Arabidopsis thaliana: one gene and its partners. The protein of the gene in region 3 interacts with the protein of the main gene of each other region in a pairwise test. Each region holds a gene or a part of one and is shown on either strand. Other genes may lie near its edges. The genes, in order: MYB117, AT1G51580, AT1G69170 and AT5G59990.

Evidence for each region.
Region 1: the proteins of AT1G69170 (region 3) and MYB117 interact in a two-hybrid assay, tested with the Arabidopsis thaliana proteins (one large-scale study listed by BioGRID).
Region 2: the proteins of AT1G69170 (region 3) and AT1G51580 interact in a two-hybrid assay, tested with the Arabidopsis thaliana proteins (one large-scale study listed by BioGRID).
Region 4: the proteins of AT1G69170 (region 3) and AT5G59990 interact in a two-hybrid assay, tested with the Arabidopsis thaliana proteins (one large-scale study listed by BioGRID).

Annotation. Positions count from the first base shown.
Region 1 is NC_003070.9:9,268,051-9,275,468, forward strand, and holds MYB117 (myb domain protein 117), read left to right. Parts: upstream 1-2,901; 5' UTR 2,902-2,982; coding exon 2,983-3,379; intron 3,380-3,632; coding exon 3,633-4,067; coding exon of another isoform or gene 4,068-4,078; intron 4,079-4,165; coding exon 4,166-4,413; 3' UTR 4,414-4,663; downstream 4,664-7,418. Other genes in the region: AT1G26790 (Dof-type zinc finger DNA-binding family protein), read right to left, coding at 5,807-6,760, 6,890-7,054. UniProt on the Arabidopsis thaliana protein: Probable transcription factor that involved in boundary specification, meristem initiation and maintenance, and organ patterning.
Region 2 is NC_003070.9:19,121,896-19,130,484, forward strand, and holds AT1G51580 (RNA-binding KH domain-containing protein), read left to right. Parts: upstream 1-3,687; 5' UTR 3,688-3,716; coding exon 3,717-4,319; intron 4,320-4,400; coding exon 4,401-4,784; intron 4,785-4,860; coding exon 4,861-5,112; intron 5,113-5,200; coding exon 5,201-5,414; intron 5,415-5,505; coding exon 5,506-5,591; intron 5,592-5,675; coding exon 5,676-5,758; intron 5,759-5,883; coding exon 5,884-5,989; intron 5,990-6,069; coding exon 6,070-6,207; 3' UTR 6,208-6,266; downstream 6,267-8,589. Other genes in the region: AT1G51570 (Calcium-dependent lipid-binding (CaLB domain) plant phosphoribosyltransferase family protein), read right to left, coding at 463-2,793; MNS1 (alpha-mannosidase 1), read right to left, coding at 6,420-6,638, 6,743-6,913, 6,994-7,074, 7,153-7,251, 7,323-7,431, 7,526-7,591, 7,685-7,809, 7,952-8,041 and 1 more.
Region 3 is NC_003070.9:26,001,612-26,009,536, reverse strand, and holds AT1G69170 (Squamosa promoter-binding protein-like (SBP domain) transcription factor family protein), read right to left. Parts: upstream 4,470-7,925; 5' UTR 4,257-4,469; intron 4,088-4,256; 5' UTR 3,912-4,087; coding exon 3,403-3,911; intron 3,300-3,402; coding exon 3,163-3,299; intron 3,068-3,162; coding exon 2,496-3,067; 3' UTR 2,169-2,495; downstream 1-2,168. Other genes in the region: CRC (Plant-specific transcription factor YABBY family protein), read left to right, coding at 597-698, 877-996, 1,090-1,198, 1,299-1,347, 1,463-1,538, 1,635-1,697, 1,777-1,803. UniProt on the Arabidopsis thaliana protein: Trans-acting factor that binds specifically to the consensus nucleotide sequence 5'-TNCGTACAA-3'.
Region 4 is NC_003076.8:24,148,042-24,156,097, forward strand, and holds AT5G59990 (CCT motif family protein), read right to left. Parts: upstream 5,161-8,056; 5' UTR 5,044-5,160; coding exon 4,651-5,043; intron 4,392-4,650; coding exon 4,233-4,391; coding exon of another isoform or gene 4,221-4,232; exon of another isoform or gene 3,810-4,220; intron 3,339-3,809; coding exon 3,165-3,338; 3' UTR 2,893-3,164; downstream 1-2,892. Other genes in the region: GAF1 (Polymerase/histidinol phosphatase-like protein), read left to right, coding at 44-198, 279-1,537, 1,633-1,742.

The DNA of each region.
Region 1 (7,418 bases), about 17 Mb from region 3:
TCGGACCATGGGGACGCATCACAGTTGAAGAGAAAAGACTTCTCCTTTGAATTGAATTGGATCCTATGTTACTCTAAATGTGCACGTGTTCATCATCTCCACCTCTCATTATCATTACCAATCCTTATTCTTGATTTAAAACGGATTTTAATTTTCAAAGAACTCAATGTTTACTTGCATTGACTACTAATTATTGAGGACATCTAAAATATCTAAGAAAAAAAACTCTTGTTAATCAATAAAAAAAGATCCCATATGTAAGTAATTTTATTTCTTTGCTTTTTTATTCTTAGTCTAAGATCACTAATCACATAACATATTACATATAGATGGATGCCACGTCAGAAAAGAGTCTATTTGAAAGCGAACTTTTCTTTCGAGTAAAACACAAACCTGACCAAACGTGTAACAAAATTAAACATTATCGTACAAGGGGACATTGTAACACATGAATAACTAAGGTTGATAAAATTTGTAGACGGACATAAAGAATTCCAAGAAAAGTGAATTAGGTGAAATTTAAATGGGCTATGGGGTCAAAGAATGGTCGAGAAAATAAAAATTAGATTATGTCAGACGAGTAAAATTGAGCTTTGGATTAATTCCAACGTTTTAGTGATTCCTTATTACACATTTGATGTATTTTTGTGACAAACTGACAAAAGTATATATTAATGCTATGTTGAAAAAGGTATGTTCAAGCTTGTAATCAATTTTGGACTGAGTCACGCATGGACCGTAGCTAATATATCCACCGAAACGGATTGACCATGAGATCGCAATCTATTTTATACCTCAGATAATTTTTGTCCCCTCACTATATGAGCTTTACATACATCTGTTTCCAGAGTAATTTAGTTGCTTATTCTGTTAGTCACTCCCTAAAACAAGCTACTACACTCGATCAAGCAGTAACATCAAACTCCTTTAATCTTCCAAGTTAGACTCTCTTCTTACTTTTCAAGGTATGTTTAAATATTTAACATGTTTATAAATAATTCCATGTGTAAATAGAACATATGTTTTTAATAACTTAGTATTTTAGACGAAAGAATCGAAAATCTAGTACTAGTCTACTGGATATAAACAAAGTAACAAGATAGATTCATAGCCCAAAACAAAAGAACAACCAAATCGAAGTCCCACTTTAGCTAGTGGCTCTACTTACAAACAAACATAATTAATAGTGTGTTTCACCATATTTTATTTCATCATTTCATTTTAAACGGTAAAAAAAAACTGATTACAATTTTTATAAATGTTTGTTCTGCAAAATATAAAATTAAATAAAGCTGCATAACTTTCTGTTTCATAAAATTATATAGTTCATATATACTTCTTCACCCAACCTTTTATTTCATATTTCATATATAATATTAATGTGTATTTCAAAGTGATTGACCAATTAAAAAGAAAATATGACGAAGAGAAAGAGAGTTTGTAGTGCGTTCGGTTAAATCTCTGTGCAGAGGATCGTACAGTTCTGAGACCCCTTTTGTATCTGTATTTATCCCATATTTAATGGTTACGTCTGCCAATTGGGATTTCTGGTCAAATACGAAAAGGTCTTAAAAGTTATTTCTTTACATTTTTACTGTTCATTCTCATTACTTATACACACTTCCACACGGCCACATTCCTCATGTATGTGGGATATTTAGGGTTGAGAGTTTTTTTGAATTGGCATTGTAATATCTCGTTATTAAAAACCATGAGACTGCTACAAAGAATAAAACAGTCAAAATTTCAAGATTATTTGATACAACATGACAAGGAGAAAATGAGTATATTGAAGCGATGTTTAATTAAGAAAAAAATTGAATGAAGAAAAAAGATTGTGGTTAATTTTTTAAGATAAGAGAGGGTTTCACAGAAACAAAAATGGTAGTAAAAAGTAAAGGAATGAAAGACAAGTGGAGATTAAGAGAGAAAGAGGTAAATTTTAAGGAACCCAAAATGAAATGAAAGAAAAAGCTGTCTGAGAATTGGTTGTGCTAAGAAGAGACCCGACTCATTCCCCAATGGTAAACTCTCTTTTTGCCTTCATCCTTTTTTGGTAGTTAGTTCTGCTTCAGCTTTTTTTCTTTCATCTCATTAGCTTTTATTATTTTCACCTTGCACCTATAAAACATGCATTGATTAATAGAGGATAAATTTCACCTAATAACGGTAAGATTCATTTCGGACTCGTCCAAGATATTCTCTACATTCATTGTTTTTTAGGTCGACACTCCCAACATTAATTTATTTTGTCATAATCCATTGGTTTTCATTAAATAAAAGAGGAAATACTATCTTATACATCAAACTAAGATAAACATTAATTATTCATAAAAGTAGGAAATTTGTATAAGGAACCATAGAGAAGCAGCGTAATTAATGTTATCGTTTGATTATGAACCCTAATACGACTATAAAACTATTGCATACTTTTCAATTACTATCAATCTATGGACATGGAAAAAAACTTGGTCTTCAAATCTTAGTTACTTTTAAATTTAATAAATGATTTATCAGAAAAACTCTTTAACTTCTATGAAACTAGGTACACCTGAACAAATGTATAACAGTCCACAGCAAAATCGAATATCGATAATACACATTTGTACTTACTTATTACAGTAGTGTATATGTAATATATATAATAATGTATAAATGCAAAGAACTCTGTCGTTTGAATTAGTCCGTGACGACGGTCCATAACCCTTTTTAACAGTCGTCAGAAAACACGGTCGCGACATGTACATACACGCACATACCTAAAGCCATACGTAACAAACACACCATTATATACAAAAGATATTCTATTATTTTTAAAAAATAATATTTATGACACACATTTACGTACGTGTATATATAATATGCAAATGCACTCACATAAGTCTTTCTCCTCCGATGGTATATGTCTATAAGCTGACGTGACATCTCTCTTAATTCTCAATAACACTTCTCTTCTTCTTCCTTTCTCCCAACACTAACTCCATGTTTATAACGGAAAAACAAGTGTGGATGGATGAGATCGTCGCAAGAAGAGCTTCTTCTTCTTGGGACTTCCCTTTCAACGACATTAATATTCATCAGCATCATCATCGTCACTGCAACACAAGTCATGAGTTTGAAATCTTGAAGAGTCCTCTTGGAGATGTAGCGGTTCACGAAGAAGAGAGTAATAATAATAACCCTAATTTCAGTAACAGCGAGAGTGGTAAGAAGGAGACAACAGATAGTGGTCAGTCTTGGTCCTCGTCGTCTTCAAAACCATCGGTCTTGGGGAGAGGACATTGGAGACCAGCTGAAGATGTTAAACTCAAAGAGCTTGTCTCCATTTACGGCCCACAAAACTGGAACCTCATAGCTGAAAAGCTTCAAGGAAGATCTGGTAAGTTAAATCAAAACCTTATTTATTTTCTATTTCTTTTGACAGCAAGTTAAATCAAAACCTTATAGATCTTCAAAATTTCATCAAAACCAGTTTGTTTGATTCATCTGGATCTGTCAAGTTCTTAAGATCCGGTGATAAAATCAATTTTTGTTTTTATTAGTTTTCTTGGTCTTTAGCCTTCTATGTCCAATCTAAGTCCTAACGTAATTTTTTTTGAGTTTTATTAACTTAATCTTGATTGTTTTTAAAGGGAAGAGCTGTAGACTACGATGGTTTAACCAATTGGACCCGAGGATAAACCGAAGAGCTTTCACAGAAGAAGAAGAGGAGAGGCTGATGCAAGCACATAGGCTTTATGGTAACAAATGGGCAATGATTGCGAGGCTTTTCCCTGGTAGAACTGATAATTCAGTGAAGAACCATTGGCATGTTGTCATGGCTCGTAAGTATAGAGAACACTCTTCTGCTTACCGTAGGAGAAAGCTTATGAGTAATAATCCACTTAAACCTCACCTCACCAATAATCATCATCCTAACCCTAACCCTAATTACCACTCTTTTATCTCCACTAATCATTACTTCGCTCAGCCTTTCCCCGAGTTTAATTTGACTCATCACCTGGTTAATAATGCCCCTATCACGAGTGACCATAACCAGCTTGTGTTGCCTTTCCATTGCTTTCAAGGTAGCCTATAGCTCTTCCTCCTCTTTCAATAGTTTTTTCAATTGTCTTTTGCATATTTTGAACTCTTTTTTGGTTTTTGTTATATCTACAACGTTCAGGTTATGAGAACAATGAACCTCCGATGGTTGTGAGTATGTTTGGCAACCAAATGATGGTCGGCGATAACGTTGGTGCCACGTCAGACGCGTTATGCAATATTCCGCACATTGACCCTAGTAACCAAGAGAAACCGGAGCCAAATGATGCAATGCATTGGATCGGAATGGACGCGGTAGATGAGGAGGTGTTCGAAAAGGCTAAGCAGCAACCACATTTTTTCGATTTTCTTGGCTTGGGGACGGCGTGAATGTTGAACAAATTGGTGTTAATCAGATAACGACAGTGGTTAAATTTGGTTACAAAAAAAATAGCATTTAGCTTTAGTAGCTAGAAAACAAACAAACCAGATCCTAGCCTTTGTCCTTGCGTTTACGTTAATTACTAAACTGTAGATTGTTGTTGTTGGCACTTGGTTGTCTAGTGTAACATTTGATAAGTCATTGTTTTTAGTAGTACTCGTTCAGAAATATTTAACAAAGAGAGATTGGTTTTAAAAAGTTGATTCTTTTATGATGAAGTGACGTGAAATATTGCTAAAGACGTGTTGAGAATAACAACGAGAGAGAGAGAGAGAGAAGGGAAATTAAAAAGAGTGGAGTTTCTAGGAGTTGGAGAAAGAGACGAAGATGCGTAATTAAGAGAAGAGGAACTGCCAAAATTGAGGCAGAGATTGTGCAACAGAAAGGCCAAACATGAAACATGCTCACCAAATCTCACACACACATTGCATTTGTTTCTTCTCTTCAAACCGTTTTTCCAACTCTTCAAGCTTCTTACCTATGTATCTCTCTCATGTCACGCGGACCCACACATGCCCTTCTTTCTTGTAATTCTTTCCATGTTGTAGATATAAAAGAAAAATTTAAATTGAATTGTTCTTTTGTATAGTTTTGGTTGGGTTAAAAAAAAAGGAAAAAAATTAGTTTTGGTTTTGAATATGAGTTTTTAAAATAATATATAACGTGGATAAATGTATGGGTTTTTCGGATTTTGAAAGGTTGTTGTAGAGAAGATTTTTAATTTACCCATTGGGTCTGAAATTGCTTCAATAGGCCCAATCTATTTCGGAGATGTTCTCGAGTCTCTCTTTTTGGGAACAAACATCCGAGTGAAGTCAATATTAAGTGATTTTCGAAAAGATAAAAACTATTCTAAAACTAATTAACATTTTTCCACTCATTTTAGTAATTCTCCCAAAGTAAAGTGCTTAAAGAGAGGGGGAAAAAAGTGCTTAAAGTGTTTTCTTCTTATTGTTTCCCTTTATACGCAAATGAAGAGACTTATTTTATTTTCAAAGAAAGAGACTTTTATGTTTCTCCTTTAGCTTTTAGTTTGTACCAATCAGATGGATTCTGTACCAAGGACTCCAAGTTAAGATTCTCTACTTTTTCTCCTTTACATGAAAATTCACACATATGTTTTTTTTCCAATTAATTTATACACTAGTACTACAAAATACAAATAATGGAGTAAACAATATTTTCGAACCACATTTACCAAAAAAGACATTACACTTCAGCATTTCCATCTGTTTGGATAATCTACAAAATGGGGATTGTGGTATATAAATAAGATAGATATTAAAAGTTAATTCATCACACAAAAAAAGGTATCTACAAAGTTTCTTTTCTCCTTTAACGTTATATGCTCTCTCTGAAGTTCATAGATCTTGCCATGGCTGCAGGGTTTGCTTGCAGGTTAAGATACGTTTCAGGGACGAATCTGTTGTTGCTGCTCTTTGTTTCAGCTCCATTACTGAAAAAGCTGAATTCTTGTGTCTTCTCGCGGGTCATCGGTACTGGATACCACACATGGTTATTTGTAGCCATACTTGTTTCATTTTTGATGCTCTGAGATTCCAAAAGCAAGCTTGTTCTCTCAAAAGCATTTTTACTCTCTTTAACAGTTTCATGAGAAGTTTCGTCTCTTGTCCTTTTCCCAAGACATGTAGAAGTGTCGAGGGTAGACCAAACCGGTATCGCGCAGCCCCAGTAGACGGGCATGTGGTAGAAACTAGGGTTTGGAGGGTATTGGTAAGGCCAAGGAGGCGAAACAGGGGATGCTTGGGGAGGAAGTAACCCTTGGAAGTTGTTGGGTTCTTGTGAAACAGGTTCAGCGTTTATCTTCACTTCGTTTGATTGATGCTTAGGCCTCTCAGTTACCAAAGAGTCCGAAGACTCGAAGCTTAGAATCTTTGTTGAGGAGCTATTGTAATTGTCAGTATCCTCGGAAGTGATGTGCAGGTACTGGTCTGAAGAAACCCATCCCTTGTTCTTGCGACGGCCTGAGCCAACCGGGACGATCCTCATGGATCCACCAGCGGTCCAATACCTCTGGCATTTTCTACAGAAGTGACGTGGCTGGTTAACGTTGTAGTTGTTGTAGTAACAGAATTTGGTGTCTGCGCTGTTGCATCTCGGACATGGAAGAATCTTGTCTGGTTTCTTCAGTTCAGTTGTTTTCTCTTCTTCCGATGTAATTGTTGTGATCTCGCTGTGTTGGTCATCACTGTTCTCAGATGTTTCTTTTGACTCGTTGTTAAGATTAGATGACAGCTTAAGACTTGTATTGTCAGTAACAGATTGGTTATTCATCTGAAAAAAATTGAAGGAACTTGGATTAGGATTAACATCATGAACTAGTTTCAAACTGATACAAGGACTAGAGAAAATATTAAATCTTTAGCATTTCTTAACAAATAAAGGTAAGACCATGAAACATACCATGTGTGGTCGAAGTGATAGAGAAGAAGACGAGGAAGACGAGGAAGAATCAGGAAGAACATGGGACGAAGAAGAGTATGGATCATGAGAAACCGGTGTAATTGTCCAGCCAAACAATTTAACCGGAGTATCTCTAACTTGAGACATACCAATCTTTGAAGACATAAGACAGAAAAGAAGATGGAGTATGAGATTAGATTTGTGTTATGTGTTTATTCTTTATTTGAGGTCTGAGACAAGAGTATGTATAAGAGGCTGAGGTTGGTATTAAATTAATAACGGATCACACAGAGCCACAAGCCATAAAGACAGAGAAAATGGAGAAATTACACGTCAGCTTAGAGAGGGACATGAAGAGATGAGAGAGCCACATGTTGCAAAAAAGTGGGCTTTTTGCTATCTCTTTTCATGCTCTTTTTGATCTCTCTTTCAGTGCCACTAAAAAGATTTGCCTCCTTTATTGTCAGCCACGTCTCATTAAAATGTACAACTTCTTTTGGAATATTCATACAGAAAATTAGAAATACAA
Region 2 (8,589 bases), 6.9 Mb from region 3:
TCTTTTTAAAACCAAAAAAAAAATCCCAACTTTATTAGATTCCCCTGCAAAAATTGTCTGAATGATTTTCAATAGGCTTGAACAATTGGTTTTTCGGTTTGGTTCGAGAAATTTAGCCACTACGTACACTAAACCGAAGTTAAGTTGGTTTGGTACGGTTTACTGAAATTTTGGTTACATTATAAAATATACTTTCCGCATTTATCTTCTTCCTCTTGGCATCTCCTCGACTTAAAGAGAGAGAGAGAGAGAGAGAGGCTAAACAGAAGAGAATCCAAAAACACAAACTTATCTTACTAGTTACCACTTTCCAAAGAAAGTTTTCAAAAGGACATAAACATAAATAATGTCAAACAGAAAAAAACATGATCATCCAACATCACAAAGAAGAGGTAAGGACTTCAAAACGATAACAAACTAGAACAGAGGAGTCTTTCTTGAAATGGAGAAATCTTAAGTAACTCAGAGCATGCAATCAGTTCTTGCTGGAAGCCTCCTGAAGAAGTTAAGTGGAACTGATGGGAGCTTGTACCTGAGCCTCGGGTGTCTAAGCACATACAAGCCAATGGCAAAAGCCACAACCTGGAAGGGAGTTATATATAAAATCACTGCAGCTATCAGACAGAACAAGACGAAGAGAGCAGTGGCACGCGGGTCACGCCAGCTTAGCAACGACTGAAATCTCTCTCCTTGAGTTGCAAGATCACCAACAACTGTTTGAATCCTACCAGCAATGCTTCTGAGTCGGTCATATCTCATCCTGACGATGTCTGATGGTCGGGAAGTAGGGAAAGTGTCAAACTCCTCGTCGAGCTCATCAGGGTGTGCTGAGTCAGCGTGTGAGAGACGTGTGTCCATGTGTGGAGGATGTCTCGGCCTCCAGCGATAGTACCAAACTCCAATCAAGAAGAGGTAGAGGAAAATGGTGGGCAAGATGAGCTCGGGGTAGATAACAAGGATAATGAAGAGAATGTGGATTAAAACCGTTGTTATCGGATTTTTCCATACGCAGATCTGTTCAAACCATTTCCCTACAGCGATTATCCCACTCAAGACTCCCATTATCCTGAAGAAATTCGCCTTGCTTCTACGCATACTCCACATGTGAGATCCCACATCAAGCATATACTCAACAACTTCTTTCCTCAAAGGCGGCTCTGCTCGTGTTAGCCTTGTCGACACAATCTGAGTTGCTTGATGCCTTAAGTTATCGAGCTGGCTAACCGTGAGGGGATGGAGGTAGTGCATCTTAGGTAAGAGAGGCATAGAATACATATACATCATGTTGAGCAATGAAGAGCAAGTAAACCTCACCGCTAAGTGAATCTCTCCCATTTTCTTGACTCCACTAGGATGTAGCACCAAAAGAGGATATGAATGTGTGTAGACTCGATCAGCCTCGAGAGTAGAGAGCCTTATCCTCACCTTTCCAATTCTTGAATCTTTTCCTCCTCCGTTGTTTTTGTCACCACCGTGTAGATGGCAGTTATCGAACACACCAACTGTAACTACAGTACACGGATCAAAAACCTCCCAAGTATATTGCTCGTTCCATCTTGGGGTAAAGCTGTCAATAATTGTCCGAGTTCTGATCCATTTCTGCCCATACTTTGCCACACAATACGCGTCCGTGGTTCCCCTACCACCTTCTTTAGCTTTCATGGGCATTAAACCGGTCGCATTTAAGACCCCTAGCTCAAGCACACCGATGTTAGGCTTCCACAGTTGCTTTGCAGTTGGTCTTAGGTCACTACTGTAATGTGTAGACTCATCAAGCACATGATACCCTCCTTCCAAACAAATCCTCATGTGGATCTTGCTGGCGAATTTGATCTCTTTCTTCTCTCCTCCTTCCATTATAACATGCTTCTCAAGGTTAAACCACCTGCTGTTCACCGGTCTATAGTCAAACCTTTTGTCCAAATACTGCAACGGAACCGCGCATCTCCCCAAGACTTCATCTTTATTCGGCGCAACTCTATCTTCCACACTTAGAATCAAAGGCTCTTCAAACGGCTCAGCTACAACAAACATCAAATCCTCATTCCACATCGGATTAATACTCCTGCTTTGTGACACTCTAGTCCTCAATGCCTGATTTCCCATTATCACTTTCACAAAGACTTCAGGATATCTCCCTTTATCGCTCGGTATCAAATCCTGAGCTTCAATGACATTAACCCTAAGATACCAAAGCTTAGGAGAGAGATAAACCTTAGATCTGATGTTAGCTAAAGCATCAGTTCCACTAACAGTTGCAGCATCAGAGTGCCAAGCTTCAGGAAAAGCTTCATCAGCTTGAGTACCAAACCAAACAGCTAACATAAGCTCTCCTTTAACTTTTTGGCCTTTCCCATCTTCTAATCTATACCATTGTGGAGCTAAAGGACTATCAGGAGGAACTCTCTTAGGTATCTCATTCAAATCAAACACAACACGACCAATCAAATCATCTTTAACTAAATCTTTATCCTTGACAGTAGCTTCAAGATAAGAAGCTTGTACCCTATCTTTAGAAAAGGCGAAAACTTGGTTCCACTCAGGATTAGATTTCTTCTCGAAATGTCTAGTGGTTCCTCTGTAGTTACCAAGCTTAACTTCAACGTAAGGGTCACAACTACCAGTTAAGTCTTTACCTGGTAATTCTTTAGCCTTTACGACACGAACATAGAGATACTGCATTTGCTCGACGAGGTCATATGTGGTTGTGAGCTTATCTCCGGTGACTTTGCCTCCACCGAGATGAGGTTTTGTCTCCTTTAAGGAGAAATCTTCAGGAGGTGGTCTCTGCATCTTTGAAACTAGTAAAGTTTGGATTTTTTCTTCTTTCAGAAACACTAGATCTATAAGTTAGATCTTCAAAACAAACAAACAACCCCAGAAAACGATTTACACCAGAAATCTCAGAATCTGCTTAACATTAAACCCCCAAAAAAAGAAAGAAGTAAAGAAGAATCCTTTCTTCTTCTTCCTCGTAAAATCAGAAGATAAGCATTGAGAGAGTTTTAGAAAGAGATAGAGAGAAAGGACTGTAGTGAGAGAAAAGTAAAACACATTGAAGTAGAGTGGTGAAGGTTTTCTTGTCTTCTTCTTCCTTTTGCTTTTTTTTTTTTTGCTCTTTTCGATTTTTGTTTTAAATTCAAAATGATTTTATGAGTTGGCAGAAAGAAAAAAAAAAAGGCCAATAAGTGAAAAACATTTTCTTCATAATCATGAAATTTGATTTGAAAAGGACTACACAATATAAATTTTTATTTCTTTCTCTCCTTTTTTAAGTACGAAAATATGAATAGAACTTTTATTTCAAATAATACTCAAAAGTCTCACATACTATGGCAATTCTCAAAAATACCTAAATTGAGTATTATTGTTCCACAAATACTGTCACTAGTTTTTTTCTCAAAACATACCACAAAACAAAAACTAGATTTTAAACTTTCAAAACTAAATCCTAAACCGTAAAAATAAACTCTAAATCCTAACAACAAATTCTAAACTCAAAAGTTTAAATTATAAACCTTGAAAAATTAATTTTGGTGTTTGTAATAAATTTGGAACAAAATTTTTGTTGTAGTATTTTCGAAAAAATAAACTCATTAAAATATTTTTGGAAAAGAGAAAAAACATAGTTTAGTGGTATTTTATAAAACAGATTTTAAAACATTTAAGAGCCTTTGAGTTAAACTCAAAACGACGTTGTTAAGCTTATTCGACTAATGGAGTTCTCTACCTCAAAACGTCCGGCGACGACAGCGACGGCGGCGGAGTCTGTACATTTCCGTCTTCTCTGTCCGGCAACAAGAACTGGTGCAATAATCGGAAAAGGCGGCTCAGTCATTCGACACCTCCAATCTGTAACCGGTTCAAAAATCCGCGTCATCGATGATATTCCCGTTCCTTCAGAAGAGCGTGTAGTGTTGATAATCGCACCTAGTGGAAAGAAGAAGGACGAATCGAATGTGTGTGATTCCGAAAACCCTGGCTCTGAAGAGCCTAAGCAAGAGAAAGGGAGCGAGTGTGCGGGGACTAGTGGTGGAGATGACGAGGAAGCGCCGTCGTCGGCGCAGATGGCTTTACTTAGGGTTTTCGAAAGAATAGTGTTTGGCGATGACGCTGCTACGGTTGATGGTGATGAATTGGATAAAGGTGAGAGTGAAGGTTTGTGTAGGATGATTGTTAGAGGTAATCAAGTAGATTACTTGATGAGTAAAGGAGGGAAGATGATTCAGAAGATTAGAGAAGATAGTGGAGCTATTGTTAGGATCTCATCTACTGATCAGATTCCTCCTTGTGCTTTCCCTGGAGATGTTGTGATTCAGGTATACACAGCTTCTTGTGTCTTTGTGGCTATTCAATTTATAGAGCTTTTTTGGCTGATTTAGTAATGTTTTTGTATGAAGATGAATGGAAAGTTTTCGAGTGTGAAGAAGGCGCTTTTGTTGGTTACAAACTGTCTTCAAGAAAGTGGTGCACCTCCAACATGGGACGAGTGTCCGTTTCCGCAGCCTGGTTATCCGCCTGAGTATCATTCTATGGAGTATCATCCTCAATGGGATCATCCTCCTCCTAATCCAATGCCTGAAGATGTTGGACCCTTTAATAGACCGGTTGTTGAAGAGGAGGTTGCGTTCAGGTTGTTATGCCCGGCTGATAAAGTTGGAAGCTTGATTGGGAAAGGTGGAGCTGTGGTGCGAGCTCTGCAAAACGAAAGCGGTGCGTCAATCAAGGTTTCGGATCCAACTCATGATTCAGAGGAGCGGATTATTGTGATATCGGCACGAGAGGTATGTTGATTTGCTCCATGGATTTGGTTTATGTATATCATTGGATACTTTGTCTCATTGGTTTACATTGTTGTAGAACTTGGAGAGAAGGCACTCTCTTGCCCAAGATGGTGTGATGCGTGTGCATAATAGAATTGTTGAGATTGGATTTGAACCTAGTGCTGCTGTTGTTGCCCGGCTTCTTGTACATTCTCCATATATCGGACGTCTATTGGGTAAAGGGGGTCATTTGATAAGTGAAATGAGGAGAGCAACTGGTGCTAGCATCCGCGTCTTTGCGAAAGATCAAGCTACAAAGTATGAATCACAACATGATGAGATTGTTCAGGTAAATTTTATATAACATCCGCGGCCTCGATAAGTTTTTCAACTCTGTAGTTTTCTTGTTATTTGACACCTTTTTGCTGGATTGGCAGGTCATTGGTAATTTGAAAACTGTTCAAGATGCTTTGTTCCAAATATTATGTAGGCTTCGGGAAGCAATGTTTCCTGGAAGACTTCCTTTTCAAGGAATGGGTGGTCCACCTCCGCCGTTCATGGGTCCGTATCCAGAACCGCCTCCCCCATTTGGACCGAGACAATATCCAGCTTCTCCAGATCGTTACCATTCTCCAGTAGGACCATTCCATGGTATTTCATCAATTTCCGACCCATGATCACCAGTTGATACATGCATCAATCTCAGTTTCTTAATAATGTCTACTTGTTACATATGATACAGAGAGGCATTGTCATGGTCCTGGATTTGATAGGCCACCTGGTCCTGGATTTGACAGGCCACCTTCCCCAATGTCTTGGACCCCGCAGGTATGTGAACTCAATGATCTTTATTCCTTCGTTAGCTGTCATGTCCTTTTATTTCTTTCTAATTCAACATTTCTCAATCGCCAGCCGGGAATCGATGGCCATCCCGGTGGTATGGTTCCTCCTGATGTGAACCATGGATTTGCTTTGAGAAATGAGCCCATTGGCAGGTATCACTTTCCCGGCGCTGTCTTTGTTCACTTTAAAACTAAATGACTTTGAAATGCCAGAAACTGTACGAAGGAATTTTATCCACTAATTTCACATTATTGCCTTTTGGTTATGGTGTTGGCAGCGAGAATCCAGTAATGACAAGTGCAAATGTGGAGATTGTGATTCCTCAAGCATACTTAGGTCATGTCTATGGTGAGAACTGCAGTAACCTGAATTACATCAAACAGGTATGTTGCCGATAATATATGAGCAGCTGGTCATTTTGAAAGGCTGCATCTGATTACCGTTTGTAAACCTAATCAACTAGGTATCAGGAGCGAATGTGGTTGTGCATGATCCAAAGGCAGGGACTACAGAAGGACTGGTGGTTGTCTCAGGCACATCGGATCAAGCTCACTTTGCTCAAAGCCTTCTTCATGCTTTTATTCTCTGTGGTCAATCTTGATTGCTCTCTTTTCAAAGTGTGTACAATTTTAACATGATAGTAAAAAAAAGCTCTTCTACAAATCCAAAAATCATAGGAAACAGTAAAGTACCTCTACAAATTGCTGTGGCAAAAACGTTGTCCATCTGTTCTTTAAACTGATACAACAATGTGCCTCAAACTTTGTGGTAATATATAATAATATCAAATTCCATTTGAGCAGAAACTGTCTACTAAACGTTAATCTGATGACCAAACTTCCTCTGGCGTAGTGCTATAGTTGGCTTACGCGGATCATTCCGTGCCACAATCTTAAGCGGATGGGCTTCTGTGTTGAAAACCCACTCGTCTAATGAAATAACAGATGAAGGCGAAAAGAGAAGATATAGATACTTAAGAGTCTCAGCTAAGAAGAAGCTTTGCATCTTGTTGTCTTTAGCACCTGTATTGACCTGAAAATGAAGAAGCAAACGTTAACAACGTGTTTCCGAAAGATGGAAAGGCCCACTCGAGGAGGGTATCTGATTGGTTAAGGTCAGCCCGGCTCGAAACTTACATCCTTCAAGCCTACATATCCAGATTCTACGCGAGAGTTCTTCTCAAATGCTTGAAATATATTCCATCCCCACTCTTGATATGTCTTGTTCCCAGTTAATCGCCAGAGGTAAAACAGTGATTCAACGGTTTCTGGTCTTAAAATGTTCCAAGATGTGCCAACACTCATGTCCTGAAACAATCATGTGCTTATGGATACGACATAACCAACCAACTAACATACAAACAGATGCGCAAAAAGTATTTACCAACCTGCCCTGCAGTGAAGAAATAGTTCTCTCCAGCAAGTTTCGTTGGTGTCGATTGGTAAAAGTTATAACAAGTCCAGGCAAGCTGCAGTAAAGTGAGGGAAACAGCAATAAGGACACAGCAGAAAGTTATACTCAACATACAATTGAGATTCTAAGGCACCTCTCCAGCAAGTGAAAGAAACTTTTTTTCTTCATCAGGGCCATAACCTGAAGCTCCTAAAGCCAACATTCCAGGAGCAAAGCACGCCAATTCATCCATCTGAATGTTGAAATTATGTCAAAACCAACAAAATTCTCAAAGTAGAGAGTTGAAATTAGAATAGTTTTTACCTTATCAATCAAATTATTTCCGTTCTTCTCACATATATACGTAAATGATGAAGGTGTTGATTTCTTGACCAAGCTTAACAAACCTTTCATTGATTTCTCCCACATATCTCTGATTCAATACATTAAGAAAGATTTAGTCCTTATCCTTTATTGCTGATATTGAATTACTTGGGTGTATATACACAGCGTCGAGCTTTACTTACCTATAGGGTTTCACGGCAGATGTTTTGTTCCCTTGCACCCAAACTTTGAGCAAATACTCATAAAAGCTGTAAAACCAAATTATTATTAAAAGTTAGAGAGCAAAGTCATGGTCACAAGACCCGACCAACACAAAATGAAAATTTGGAGGAAGAAACTACCTATCTCCCATGGCACCAAATGTTGTGGTAGAGTACGATGGATTAGCATTATCCGGATTTATATAGATGGGAAGTAAACCATCAGCAGGAAAGTTCTTATTCAGTTCTGTAATAACCTTCTCTACCTGAGAGACATGAGTTAGCAAACGTGTCAATCTTGAGCAGCCAATATTTTCTTCAGCATTAATGCAGATTGATTGCCCACTTTTTCACACCGAGTTAGGATATAAAGAAAATCTGTTGGACAAACTCAAAATTAGTATCTACCTTCTGCTGATATTTTGGGTCCCCTGTCCTTTGGGAAAGGGCAATAAACTCGAGCTGCTCAGTGCCGGAGTCTGCGAGAATACTGTCTCCCTAGTAAAACAAAAAAAAAGTGTAGCAATCAGTAAAACTGACACAGCACATGTCCTCAATGAAACTGAAACATATCTAAACCTGATCACACTTGGTACTCATTTCAAAGACACTGCATATGATTGCTAGTGAATATATAGTTAGTTAAGAAACTATAGCTACCATAAACTCTAAACGTAACACCTGTTTAAAAGTCTAGACCCCAAACAAGAATGTTAATTGTTGCATACAGAGAAACCATAACTTGGCTGTTTCTGCCGAGTCCAGATCTTAGTTTTTATACGGGGTTGAATCATCTAAGAAAGTGGTCAGAACTTGGATTTAAGCTATCAAATAGACTCTAAGGAGTCCTTTAGAAACATAATCAGGAACCTAAGTCAACTACAGAACAAGTGCACAGAGTTTCAGGAGCCATTTTTTCTAGAAACGAATAAAGATTTGTATCCAATCATTGGATTCCAAGGTTAGGCTTTAAAAAGATCTACATGACACAAGATGACACAATACAACATACACGGCACTCAGTAATCTAGGACTCACCCCTGCCG
Region 3 (7,925 bases):
CTAAATATCAGTTTAATATACATTTGTAATTTTTCTTGCAATCCCTAGCCAGCTTAATGATATCATTTTTTTTCCTTCTTTATATCCAGAGAAATTTTATGCGGAAACGTAGATTAATATCATCGAACTTGTTGATCCAATTTGTTTTATCTTTTAAAACATTTACAGTGATTACAAAATAGAATATATAGCAAGTAAATATCCAACGAAAACACATAATGTCTTTAACAAAAAAAAAGAACGAAAAAAAAAAGAAAACACATAATGTCACCATTAGAAACTCGTGTCTACACCAGAAGTCATTAGTTTAAGATATTCATTTTTTTTTTTTTTGATAAGATGATATTAAATGTTGTTAAAATAAACAATAAAAATGCAATTATGGACTGCATATACACGTCCAACACTTTGACAATCTGTATCGCTCTCTCTCTCTCTCTATATATATATATGTCATGGTCTCACTATGATTGTTCTATAAATACAAGCCTCCTAACTCATAAAATAAGCATAACCCTAACTCTACAAAGTTCTTCTGATTCTTTCTCTCTCTCTCTTTCTTTCAAGAGCGGTTTTCAATCCATTCGCTAAAGACCATGAACCTAGAAGAGAAACCAACCATGACGGCTTCAAGGGCTTCCCCTCAAGCCGAACATCTCTACTACGTCCGGTGTAGCATCTGCAACACCATCCTCGCGGTAAATTATTACCTACATATAAGAAGATATATAAGCATATATATACTTGCATGACCCTATATATGTTGATAATATCACATACATGCTAAGCTATACATATTGTTGTTTATGTTATATATATATATATTTCTTCAAATTTTCGAGCTAATTTGTAAACCGAATCTACACACATATATAGGTTGGGATACCATTGAAGAGAATGCTTGACACGGTAACGGTGAAATGCGGCCATTGTGGTAACCTCTCGTTTCTCACCACAACTCCTCCTCTTCAAGGCCATGTTAGCCTCACCCTTCAGGTATATAACACTTGTGTTATAGTTATACATACGAGTATAATTCTTTTTATACAAAAAACTGATACTAAGCCAATCTTTGTTTTAACTAAGCAGATGCAGAGCTTTGGTGGAAGTGACTATAAGAAGGGAAGCTCTTCTTCTTCCTCTTCCTCCACCTCCAGCGACCAGCCCCCATCTCCCTCACCTCCCTTTGTCGTCAAACGTAATTAAGCTTATTACCATTTCTGACTCCTTTTTCTTCTATAAACTTAATCACTATCTACATATATATGATTATCTGTTGAACATCTTTGGTATTGTAGCTCCTGAGAAGAAGCAGAGGCTCCCATCTGCATACAACCGCTTCATGAGGTTTAACCTTTGACATATACTCTTTAGTTCCAAGTTAATTATGAAATTTAATGCATAAAAAATAAATATAATTTAGTACTCTTCTTCATCTTTTTTTGAAACAAAATATAAAAAGGGATGAGATCCAACGCATCAAAAGTGCCAATCCGGAAATACCACACCGTGAAGCTTTCAGTGCTGCTGCCAAAAATGTAAGACAAGTCTCTTTTTGTTACCAACCATTGTTGTCACCTTTAATATTATTTTTTCACAATTTCGTTTGTGTAAATGAAAAATGTCACAAACAGTGGGCTAAGTACATACCCAACTCTCCTACTTCCATTACTTCCGGAGGCCACAACATGATCCATGTAAGCTATACAAACTAAGTCTGCATAAGGACATATTTATATACATTATATAAAGATTTAAAATGTTTTGTTCAATTAGGGCTTGGGATTCGGTGAGAAGAAGTGAACAAAACTCAGGGGAAAAGAAGCCTAAAAATAACAAACGCATGCACGTGTGCGAGTGGCTGCGTCGTTTTTCTCATCTTGTGTTGTTCTTCTGTGTAATTTTCTTATGTATGTCATGTTGCAGAAAATGATGTTGCCTTAGTTTTTATGACTTTATATTTCTGTCTGTCTTTAGATTTGAAAGTAACGTCACTTGCTATGTCCCTTTGGACGTTTATGTCTGGTCTTTATTTGTCTTAATCCTATCAAAATTTTATATGCGTATTCCTTAATTCCATCTGGGACACTTTTTCTTTTCCCCAATGATTTGCAACTTTCAACATCGTAACTTCGAACTCGAGAATCTCAGATCAGTCCTCAGATGACGTGAGTGTACAGAACAAAACAAAACAAAAGTAAAAATTCACTTTTTCAGCGAATATTCATTACATGTATATATACAAATTGTCTGTAACGCTGTGAAAAGGAAGTAGGCATAGATATCTGAAGCAATTTTCTTCAGAACATTATTGACTGGTGAATAATAACACAACAGTTACAAATTACAATAATACGTGTAACATGATCTGATCCTCTTAATTCCTCTATCTAATCACAAACTAATCAAGCCATGCAGGCTTGTCTTGTCCTTCTGCAGAACAATCTCAAGAAACTCGAACCGGTTTAAAGGAATAAGAATGTTGTAACCTTTTATTAGGAGCCAGGGAAATAAAGCTCATTATATTCCTGCTTCACATCACCAGTGTAATTCCTCTGTTGCTCGATTCTTTGAAGATGTGATGACAGTTGCAGTAGATCAACCGTGGATGTTCCTTTTCCTTTACAAGAACTAGAACCAGCAGAATTGGTCTTGCCAGGATCGATCCACAACGGTTGTTCCATCTGATGATAGTCAGTTGATGATGAGTGATTGAGATTTTGGTTGGGTTGGGTGATTGAGAACGTTGTGTTTGGAAACTTAGACAAGTGTTGTTGGGACTGAGCTGACAGAAGAGAGAGAGCACGAGTAGAGCGTGATGCCGCCGTCTCATGTAAGTCCCAAATGGAGGATACTTCCGTGGAATAAATTGCTGGTTTAGATTCATAAGTTCTGCTGCTGTTTTGCTCATTAGTAGGAAACATGGAACAAGTAGGTTCATCTTTGAAACTCACGAGTCTACTTGTACGGTGGTCGTCTTCATCTATTACTCTGTATAAGAGACTACCAGGAAATGACTCTGGCAATACCAATGATGAATTCTCCAGAAACTTGTTGCCTACTACATCTATGGAAGATCATAAAATACAGAATAGATTCAAATTTGCACGAGTTTGCTAATTCAATACATCAATGGATAGGGAAAAGGCAGAGAGTGAGTACCTTGAGAGGTGCGAAGAAGCTTATGGCGCTTACCCGGTAGGAAATAGAATGCAGGTTTCCTTCTTCGTTCATTGTGACCGGCTAATCGCCTTCTGCAACTTCTTTTGCCATCATCAAACTCTGAGAGGAAATGAAACCTGAACAGAAGAAAAAGGTAAAAGAAACAAACGATCAAGATCCATCAAGAACATTGAAATGACTACAGAGCATGAGACAACTTGAGAGGAGAAAGAATAAAACCTGCTGCACTGTTGACAAAACCTCTGTTCAAGACCATTAACTATGACCACAGAAGTTTTCGAATGAGCCTCGCAAACTCTATGCCTTTTGTGGTAATCTTTCGAAGAGCTCAGATCCTTACTACACCCATAAACTTGACACAAGGGATTCTGAGAGCACAAGTTTGAAGCTCGAGACTTTTTAGATGGCAGAGCAAAACCTCTAGAGGATGTATCATCATCATCATTTCCTAAATCCAAAAAGCTCCTAAGTTTGAAATCTATCCTATTCAATTCCTGACTAGAGAACTTTGAAGAAGAAGATATGTTCTCCTCATCTTCCTCTTCAGGAACAACTTTAGTAATAGAAACAGCACTGAATCCATTGGAGTTACCAGCCATGTCAGAAATCAACACATCATCATTATTAGAGAGTCTCTGTTCAAATCTTCTATTCTTAGCAAAAGTATCACAAGGTAAAAGAGTTTCATTTGACATGAAAACGCTTCTCCCGTAGCTCCAAGAATCCATCAGCAACACTATAATCAATTTCTGCTTTCTTCAACGACAACTAGCAATTCAATAACTGATGCAGAAACCCTAAAGGAGGAAGCTTTCTTCTAAATAGAGAAAACCCAAGACGACGATTCACTTATTCCTTCGATTAACACAAAACCCAGATAGAAATTGACGAAAAGATTCAAACCCTAACAAGAAACAAAGATAAAAATCAATACTTTATCAAGAAAGCAATCACACAACATGATCATCAGTGGAACAAATAAATTAAGACGAAATTTTCGAGTTTCTTATCTTCCATCTAATGCAATTGAGGTGAACGAAATCATAAACAGAGGATCGAAGAATAAGACTTACCGATTAGAGGAACAGAGAAGAACTGTGTATAGGAAGCAAGCAAAAGAGACAGAGAGGTGGAGAAAATATAAGAAAAGTGAAAAATGGGGAATCGAAGGAATAAGGTGAGAGGTGACGTCGAAGCAGATACTGTTTGGGGTCAACATGATTTCCACTAAACCCATCTTCTTCTCCACTTCTCTCTCTCTTTTGCTTCTTTTTTTTTTTTCTTTTTCTATTCTTCATCCTGTAAATTTTATTTGTGTTTGTTTTCCGACACTATTTTGTTCGATCAAGTAAAAGTAAAAAAACAAAAAAAAAAAGTAGAAGTAAAAAAGTTTCTATAGAAATCGAATTTAAGAATGGAGAAGTTGACGTCATGCCTCCTATTTTTTACCATCAAAATTAGTGATAAAACTAATTTTAGGTTTATTTAGTTTAGTGTTATTGCTATGTTAAAACTAACCTAATAAACTTTGTACACATTTTTTTTTTTGATGATGCTTTCGGAACAGCACCTAAACAAAATCTTGGTTGAGTCACAAATAACATACAAATAATACGGTGGCAATGTGGCATGTATTCACACTGTAGACGAACAGCCAAAATTATGTGTTCACACTATCTCGAACAAATGTTAAATGATGATATAAATATGTTGACGACAATCAAAACCAATGAAGAATTTAGAATTCACAATGAACATCGTCCAAAGCGAAAGTTTATAATTTTGGGTTATATTCTAGATTATATTCTAACAAACACGTTTTGGTTAATTATTTTGTTTGTTGGCGGCTTTGAAATGGTAAAGATTAAGAAAAAAAAGAAATACACAACATGGGGAAGCGTATTTTATATAGCAATTTGAAAACATTTGTTTAAGGGCTTAATCTTCTTAAATAAATCGGTTTCAATAAGAATATATATCCAAATTAAAGCATAAGTTAGAAGAAGAATGTATGGGGGGGTTTCCTCAAAAGAAAAAGAAACTTTGGGGTTGCAAAAAGAATAAATAAAATATTAGAGAATCAGCGAGTTGAAGAGATTGGTGGTGGAGCGTGTGTAGACAAAGCCTTCTGACGCTACCCAAACCTTTTGCTTTATTACAAAATCAACCCTTTTCTTTTTTCTTTTTGGTGGGAGCCAGAGCATATCTTGTTGGCCAACCAACCGCACTTTTCAGGTGATGGAATCTAAAGCTAAGTCCTAATTACTTAACACTTGTTTGCTATTAATACTTCTTCTGTAAAATTATAACTTTTTAAGTTTATATAGTTAGATCGGTTCTCATATATTACTATGTAGAAGTTGTAAGTATATTCGATCGTACATTATGTGTGTATCTGAATCTGATCATAGACTTAAAAGTTAAAAAATTAAAACAAACGGATATGTGAAAAAGAGTTGTTTGTTGGTTCCAATTTTGCAAAGCCAGGTCCATCAATTTACGTAGCATAGCAAAGACGTATTTCAAGCCCATTAATTACGGCCCAGCGGGGTCTCTTCCATTTTCACGAAAACTCTCAAAAGATTTCAAACATACTATTCCATGAATCATGATGTAACAGTTACTGTGCAGAGTGCAGACAATGGAGTGTGCACCAAAAAGATTGGCCATGATTTCTATCATTGTATTTGAGAACGATAGAAAGTTCAGGTTCTAACTTTACATTTTAGATCGAAGACCAGAGTTTGTTTTTTATTCAAATTAGACATAAGAAAAGGAAAAAAACTGAACCAAATATTTTGTGATCCAAACAAAATTTCCTTTAACCACATGGAATTTTCTTTAACCACATGACTAATAATACCGAAACGCAATTGAATTTAGTATAATCGGTCCAAATCGAATAATAAATAAAAATTTGTTGAAATTACATGTGTGACAACATATATGACGTTAGTTATTATCTCACCTAACAAAACTCCAAACATACTATTTTAAGTGTCTTTATTTGTAAGATTAATTTTACTTTGCATAATTACCTCAACTTTATGATAATCACATGTTTGGACCCTCCACCCATTAGATGATAGGAGAAAGCAATGTATTACTTATTCATTTCATTATTTTTTTTAACTCATTCGTTTTATATACTCGACTTTAGTCTATATTGGTGACATGTATCATTGTTTCTACCGTCATGAGTATTTTTCTTTTGTTTCCTTCTTTTTGTTGCCACTGCGCATGAATTCATTGTAGGATACATTTATCTGCTTTGTTCGGTTTATTTAGTAAACCTTTTGTTCTTACAAAAAATTCTTTATCCGATTGAAATATTAAAAGTAAAAAGCATATGTCGCTACATATGTCTTTGACAAAAAAAACCAAAAAAAAACATCTCCCTACATACATATACATAATTACAGTGTTTCTGAGATGAATACAACAAGATATATAATTTTTTTAACCAAGCTAGTGTGTGATTGAAGTAGAATTAATTATCTTTTGTTGGCATGAGACAAAAGACTAATTTTCATTAAATGTATTTCGTATCACTATTTAGTTTTTTTTTTCTTAAGTCAAATTTTCAATTTCAACAGATCTTTGACAGTAAACAGACACAAATTTAAATGAGGTTTAAGTTACAATCAAAAAAGGTTTTTAGTCGGATATTAATCTAACGTACGACCAATACATTTATAATTATCCTTAGAAAGGCTATATATATAGTGGTGTTATTCAAAAAATAAAAACGCTATATATCTATAGTACTCCTTATGCCTTATGCATGCATTAATAAATAAAACTCTAAAAGCAAGCGCAATCTATGCATGAAAAGAGCTTTTGGATATCCTTTTGTCCTTGATTAATTTGTTAATACAATTATCTAAAGCATGCAATTCAGAATACTTTTAAGGATAAATCAATCTTCAACCAAAACACTAATTATACTTTGTCAATTTCTATCGAAGCTCTATGATACAACTCGTGACAGGACAACAAAAAAAGTCTAGCGATACTAGATTAAGTTATTGGTTGCTAGTTCTTATAATAATATATTGATGTTTAGGAATGATCATGCAAGTAGATTCTTTAACAGTAAGGTTCGAAACAACTTAAGTTTGGACCTGCTAAAAAATGACCTCCTTATTTTCGGATTATCATGCGTTCTCATATGTTTTAGATTATTTGTTTGCTTAATAATTCTATTTCTCTAATTAATTCTTATTAATTATAGTTCTCTAGTTAGTTCGGCGACTACTATTGGACTCAAAATACTAGATCTCAAGATTTCGTTTTTGTGTGTGTAGATCTTTCTACTTGAAGATTGGAACATCTAATATTATTTATTAAGCTAATATGAAAAAATGCAAGTGGAGATCGTTGTTGGTCCCCAATTTGTGTCTGTTTGTCTTTTTCTGATCATGTTATAGATACAAAATTTAATTTGAGAACTAGTGGCGCCATAAGTTGCATGCAAGACTCGTAAGCGACGACAAAAAAAAAATGGACTTATAACTAACCAACAAATGTAAGAAAAAAACAAGTAGCCAAAACTTAACCGGCCGGCCAAACTTTATTATTTGGTCGTCCCATATATAATTATCTGGTTCCCATTCTTTAATTATGTTTGCTTTATCCCAATGACTATCAAACGCAAATGACTATCACCATATATAACATCACTTAGTTTTTCCTGTCGGCAAATGTTGCTCATCAATAATATGTAAGTGACGAAGTTCTTG
Region 4 (8,056 bases), on a different chromosome or scaffold from region 3:
TATGAGAACTTGCTTATACTGTCTTGTGATATGGTGTATCTAGTTACTGGTGGATTGGACTAGGGGGAAGAATCTAATTATATCAAGTGGTGCTCCTTCAGTCACAGAACTTAGAGGTCCAAATGATGTCATAAATCTCATGTTCTTACTTGGACTCTCTGCTGAAAGAGCTAGAGCTGCCATTTCAAAAAATTGTAGGTATGTATCAAATTCGTCTAGCAATTGTGTTATTTGATGCTGCTAAGCGTCATTGAGAATGGATTTTAAATTGCTTTCAGGAATATGATAGCCAAGGTTTTAAAGAAAAAACGGTTTCACAAAGAAGCTGTCAGGGTTGAATTACTTTCTGCTGGTGATACTTTTAGCCTCGAACAGCCTCTGTCTGAAGATTGCATGAAATGGGATCGCCTTTCGAGCGGTGAAGGTGACATGCTTTTGGATGATCTTGCAAAGGCTTTTGATGCCACAAATGTTGTGGCGCACAAATCCTCGAAGGCGATTGATTTCACCTCTGTTCTTGATGGCTTGCCAAAACATGGTTTCCGGGTTAAGGATATTGTAGGAACTGAATCAGTGACTCAGCCTTCTGCAGCTAAGGTGATTGACACTCAGGTGCACAGTAGTAATCAAGTTTCTGAACTACGTATGGCCACAGCTTCATCTGATGATAACCTTCGGGAAATTGAAACCATAAGCCAAATTGACATGCTGATGTCTGAAGATGACAATAAGGTGGAACCTACTACAAATGTCCTCAAAGAAGAAGCATTTGCCCTAAGGAAATGCAGTGCCAGCCATGGCCAGGGGATTTTGGTGCAAAATCAGACGGCTACTCCCTTTACACTGACAAGATGTACAAAGTCAGAAGCAGCGTCGGATGTTAGCATGAATATTGAGTCGACTTCCGAAGGTGGATCAATGTCACCGTCAAAAAGCGATCATGGGATCCCACAAAGTCCTGTTGAAGTGAATAACATGGGAAATGCTGCTTTTGAAGAAGAAGCCTCAGTGGACGAAAACAGCAAAGAAAGAGCTACTACTGGTCATGCTAGTAATGATGAGATGCATATCACTGAGTCTGGACACCACGCATCCATTGATGATGAGAAGCATATCCCTGAGCCTGAACACCTCACATCCATTGCTGATGAGATGAAAATTGATTGTTCTTCGGAAGCAAATCACGACGAGTACATGGAGGTCACAATGGAAGACCAGATGCATGAAACAGGTGACAGTAAGATTATTCTTCCTAACTTATCCTCTGAGACTACCGATTTGCTAAGTGAATCAGGTAAATCTCTCAGTCCAGATGCGGTTGTGCAAGACCATGACGAAGCATCAAGACTAGAGTCCGATGAGACAAAGCTCGAGGAAGAGGCATCAGTTCCAAACCACAACACCTTTGAGATAACAATGGAAGACAATAAGGTCGAAGAGTTAACAATTGAAGACGAGAAGGTTGAAAAGACTGAAACCGAAGCTAGTCACCAAGCCCAAGTCCAATCCTCTGAAAATAACAATGACACAAAATCAGGTACGAGATCTAAGTTTCCTCATTTGCAAATCTAACCTAACACATAAGTTTGGAGTATAGATTTCAGTCTAATGTTATATCAATCCATAATGTAGGTAAGACGCAAGCTAAGAGGAGTAGAGTTCGTTTACCGCAACTAAGGCCTTTCAAGCCTTTTCTACTTCAATCAAGGTTCAAAAGGATCAGTAAAAAAAGAAAACATTGAAGAGCTTGATCATTCTTATAAGTACAAGTTTTGTCCATTAATTTATACCCACGCAAGTCTCGTGGTTTCATTTTTGAACCGATTATAAAATGGGGGAAAGAAAGAATCTAATTTATTCTCTAGAGTTGATTCTTTGTGTACTCGTGTTCAAGAAAAAGGCTTTTAGTTAAAATATTAAAAAGGAAAAAAAAAAGTTAAAAAGATTTAAGAGTGGAGGAGTCGGTAAATCTACCGCCGGCCGACAAAAGTCGGGGACAATGTCGCCGGAGGGCCTACATCTCCCTCCATAGCCATTGCTAAAGAAGAAAGACTGCTCTCTTTCCTTTTTCAAAACTACTTTATTTATAATCTAATTGAGAAGCATTATTCTTCACATTATTACTAATTACCTACTTGTGAGAAAAATTATTCTCTTATTACTAAAGATGCCTAACATTCAAATTATTTTCACTTTTAAATAAAAATAAATGATTTTTGTTACTGTTGGAAAATAATATAGTCTTACAATCAAAGTAACATTTTTTCTTGCAAAATATCAAAAGTGCTGAGAAACTTTTCCATAGCTTTTTTTTTTGGCAAAAATAATTGCTAGTATGTTTTCCTCTAGCTTTTTTTATATACTGACTTATGAGAATGAATGTATGGGTTGATTACTTTAAGTTAGTTTATTTGAGTGGAAGCTTCTTTGATATCTTAAGAATTCTTAAGGTATATAATATATGTTTACCTTTGGAGATTGCTAGTACTTAGCACGATGTGTAATCAACGTGAGAGTATTATGAAATCATCAAAGTAACATGGCCATGTGTTCATTATATGTTTTTCAATGCTAAAAGTTATCATCTTTGTACTTTCTAAATACTTTTGTAAATCAAGTTGGTAAAAGAAAAATCAGACCATTAAGGAACATACTAAACTATACATTAACTATTTAAGGGTCCATATACATTAACGATGTGTAATCAATTTGTTTTAGTTGGAGTTCGATATTTTTAATTGTTTTATGTATATCGTTTGCAACTCACTTATGGACTACCGAATTTAAATGACGGATCTAATACGGCGACGACGTTTTATCTCAAATCCACTTTGTTCTCAATAGGTGAATATCGTTTTGTTTTGCCTTTAACCTATCTAAAACCCCATTTATCTCACTTATAGAACTCAGTGCCATGCTAAGACAATTGCAATCGTCAATTGACAAAGTGGCATATACCACTCATGCAGAATTGTATGGCCAGTGAAAAAGGATTAGTTTGCAAATATCTCAGATCAAAAATACAAGATATGTTATTCTTATATACAAAGATAACACAAAACCTACACATGAGTTTAGCAACATGGGGAAATCTTTTAAACCAAAACAAATTAAAGTGCCATATATAAACATATATAAGAAAAACAAACATAGAAGAGATTAAATTAGTTGAGGAAGTGATTAGCAGAGAAAGAATCAAGAAAAGATGCCCACGTGTCGACATCTCCTACCACGGCTTCCATAACATCAACTTGTTCTTGTTGTGAGATCTCATCATTTCTTGCAAATCTCCCTCTTATTCTTGGCCTACTGTCCGCTAATGTCTTCCTGCATTCGTACTAATAGAAAGATAAAAGATTATTATTAAACCTGTCCCAAAGTATTGTGATAGTTTTTAGATCATTCACAAGTCAAAACTTGTCGGTCAAAAAATTATAACGCGAGCAGAAATATCTCATTGAGATACGGTTTGAATATGTTAGTACATGAATACTCCAATCCGATCTTTAATTAGCAATGAAATATATTTGTGGACCTTCTTGTAAGAAAAAACTAATGGAGAAAAAAACTTGTAGCAACCTTGGAGCTTGATGTGTCTATCTCAAAGGATTCCTTAGACCCAAATATGATGTGACAGAACATTAATTCTCGTTCACATACTCATATATATCAGATGAAATTCTATTTATGTTTGAAGATAAGATTGAAAAGAAAAATTCAATGTTACTTTTTAGTGATAAGAGTGATTGATATGATACATTGAGCCTGTTTTTTTTTTTTTTTTTGGTCAACGAACCATTTAGTTTTGTATTAAATGTGAAAAAAAAACAGTATTACTAAGAAAAGATATCTTATACATTTGATTTTAAGAAAATAGACATTTATATATGCTCTTGTGTATGAAATTATACAGAAATCATTATTAGTTGATTAATGAAGAAATTTATAGGAAATTGTATGCTTGATTAGAAAATGGTTGCATCAATATATGTGAAGGTGCATGTCACTGTTCCATACAACTACTGTACATGTCAAGTCCTCAAAAGTTTTCCATGCGACACATATATACACATGTTGAATATATAATATAGGTTAGGTGTACATGGACTCTATGTGATGAAGAACAATATGAATCAAATGATAAATTCTTATATGTTAAAATAAGATATAAGAATTTATGCTAACAAACAGTTTAGAACAAAGAAACAACTGTAAAACATTTATAAAATTACCTTAATCCTCTTGTTGAAATTCCTAAGGTTTCGTTTGCTACGATATTTCTCGATCTTTTCTTTCTTCTCCTCAGGACTATACTTGTAGGCTTTGCTCATTCCTTCTATTATTGCATTGCTCTCACTCCACACCGTACTGCTCTCTCTTCTGCTACTCCTCTACACACATACCAAAACAGTGTCGTCTTATGTTATGATAGAATTATTATTATTTTCAAATAAAACCCCAAATTTTAGTATGTTTAGATAATTTATTTGTGTTTTGGTGTTTTCATTTTACACTCTTGCAAAACCATAAAACAAACCAACAATATAATGTTTCGTTTTATAAAATGTGAAAAATTTCATACGTAAACGAAAACATAAAAGTTAACGTTTGAAATCTCGAAACTGCAAGTGTGTATATAATATTACTTACGGGTAGATCTCCGGCGCTAAGGGCCCGTCTCACTGGCCCATCATCATCGTTAACGAAATCATGGGCCGCTGTGTAATTACCGGAAAAGCCATTATGGCTACTAACACTCCTCTGCATAACAAGACTCTCTCCGCCACTCCCCATAGAGCTTGGCGAGTCGCAGCTGCTGCTTCCACCACCACCGTTCATGCCGGAATCAAAGTAACCGAACCCTGAAACCGCCTCGGCCGCGTATAGAGAGTTTTGGCTCATCATAAGAAGCGCCAAAGGCGGAGGCGGGAACTGATGATGATGATGATCAAGCAGCTGAGGAGGAGCCACTATGTCGTCGGAGTATAGAAAACATGGACAGTTGTCGCCGGAGGTTATAGAAGTGCTGACGTGTCCACACATGGTGGGTTTTAGTTTATTGTGGTGTTTATGTGTCTTTGTGTGTTTGTTTATGTGTGTGTGTGTGAGTGAGTGAAACTCGAAGTGGTTTGGTTTCTATTTAACAGAGGAAGGACTGATGCTGACGTCATTAATCGTCATCTGAAGTCAACTGACTTAACCGTTGACTTCTTTTGACTGACTAGGAAAAAAGGAATCTTTAGGTATAAAAAGAGTTGCCTTTCGTTTTCAGGTCGCTTCTATCTCACTCTCACCCGTTATTCTTCAAACGACATATATTACACGAAATTGAATCCGACATGTATTATACGAAGGTGAATTTGGATAGTTGAACAAAAATGATAATTATTTTTTCATTTAGGTTTAAAAATGTTTTCATTAAAAATAGAACTACTACTAAAAACAAAAATTCAAATATACTTACTTATATATAGGTTACTGATTAATATGCTATCAATTATAAATACAGAGGAAGAAAGCTAGTGACAAATAATTACTAATTATAACCAAGTGTTGTTAATTCAATTAGTAAAAACCCTAGACGAAACTTAGAGATCGCCAGTTCGAATGACGTTTAGAACAAAAGTAATATTATATGCTGTAGTTTCGGGTACGGAGGGATTACGGGTTTCAGTCCAAAACCTCTTGGTATTCAAAAAAAAAAATACTAATTATATTGAATTTCAAAAAAATTGTTATTATATTGAATTTTATAATTAGTAAACTCTTTCTTTTTTTTCAATCTCTTTAACACATTTACGTTTCAAACTAAATGGCGTTATAACATTTTTTAATGTATTAAGAATTTCACAACGATAATTGTTGTAAAATGGAAGGCATAATCATTTCTTGAAACAGTAAATTTACTGATATTTTCGTAAGCAATTGTGTTTTAACTTCAAGTCCTTGACGAAAAAAAATATACAATTGTGTTTTAAAATAGTAGATAGATAACATCTCGTGCAACATTCATAAATCATAACAGCAAAAGAACAATGTAAAGAAAAATAAAATAAAATAAAGGACACGACTTAGCTTTTTAGCTCGAATTGTATAGGAGAGACAAAAAGATGGTTAAAAGCATTATTTCACGCAAACCCATGTGAGCAGCATACAAATCTACTTTTTTGCCTAATTAATCATTAACTTAATCAACAGTAATAATTAATTAAGCTCAGATACTTGATTGCTTTGGTTATGTTCACATTAAACGGGTGTTTAGTCCGGTCCGGATAATTAACCAGACAAGACACGATAGTACTGCTCTGTATATGAATTGTATATCTGTTCCAATCCATGATTAGTCAGGTTAATTAGCCAGAATTTTTTGTTTGGAATCAAATCGATTTAGGTAACATATCGAGAGAATATCTCAAACGAGTTATACATAGCTACCCCTACGGTAAAGTATATAAATATTGTTTTTTTTTATAGATATTTTGTTTACGATTAGTTACATTCCAAGAACGAAATTCGAATAGTAGGATCACTGCATATATACCAATATATTGTAGGAACACGTTGTAGTCAGTCACTAAATTGGCCTACTCATCATCATCATCATACATAATACATAATCACTCATTTAAGAACAAAACAACTTATAATTTCCTGTTTAAGCCTCACTCCATAATGAGGATACATAATATCAACCCAACTCGTGGTGTTTGTTTAGTAGAAAAATTAACCCACATATCACATTATTACTACTAGATGATATTGATTATATTTATCTAATTCAGTCCAATCCAAGTTTAAACTAAAATGATTATATATCTATATGTATCCAAAATATTTCATTTGGATGATGGTAACAAACCGAACCAAAAATGAAAAATCAAATTTGTTACATCTAAAACCTAAATTTGAACCAAAATTAACAAAAGTGCACTAACTTAGATAGTCTTCCTCCTGAAATGTGTATACAATCTTCCCTTGTATTAGGGGAAATGATTGTTCTTCTCCATTACATTCTATATATACAATATGGGTCCGTCGATAAATTTATTTGAAGAATTTTTTCTCGTCGATATCACTTCTCTAAGCCAAATATATAATTTTATTTTATTTATGGGGTACGAAAGCATCTTTTTCACTTAAGAGGATCGGAATGTAGGTCCATTAGAATCAACGAAATAAAAATTAGTTATATTTTTTTTCTTTGATTAACACAAACTTTCATTTTTTATGCGCCGGAAACTAGAGCATGTAAATTAGTCTCCTCTAAACAGGTCAATTAGTAGGAAGAGAGCTGTAAATCTCATTTTGAGAGAGTATTTTCAAACAACACTAAACCATCATCTATTGGGATTATCTATAGTTTTTTTTTATCGATTACTCTTCTTTTTATCGTCAACGTACAAACATTAATGTCGATTTGTGTTTGTTCCGTATCCACCACTCTTATTGTAATTTCTAAATATACTAGCTGTGTTTTGCAAACATTTTTTAGGGAACGTTGAAGACATTTCAAAACTTAAAACAAAGTTGCCCCACATAATGTAGAGACATAAATAATAATTCGCAATCGTTACGAGGACATAGGATCTCGATTCCAACAGTGGATAGATGTACTATGGGACTAATTAGAAAGACATTTTGTGTATCCTTAAGGGCAAAATAGCCACAAGTTGATGGGAAAGGTCATGCAAAAGCAAAATCTATAGATCAATCGATGGTAACGAAGACTTTTTCTATTTGGTGGTAAACTTTGTAGCATAATGTACCAAAAACAAAACGTTTCATGCTATGGTTGGTTCATAACTAGTTTCGAGTTTTAACGATCCAATAAGAATTGTTCTTTTTGTTTTTAATAAATAGTGTTTTTGTTTTTGCATTTCTTACCACCACTGGAGCAAATTATTGGTTTTATACTTTCGCAAGTCTCTCAGTAACCCACTTTGGTTATTTGCACACAACAATTATATACCTAGTTGTAGTTTCAAGAAGGTCAACGGTTCATGAAAACGATGATAGAATAGGGGAGATATATATTTTAGTATTTATTCCTATTACT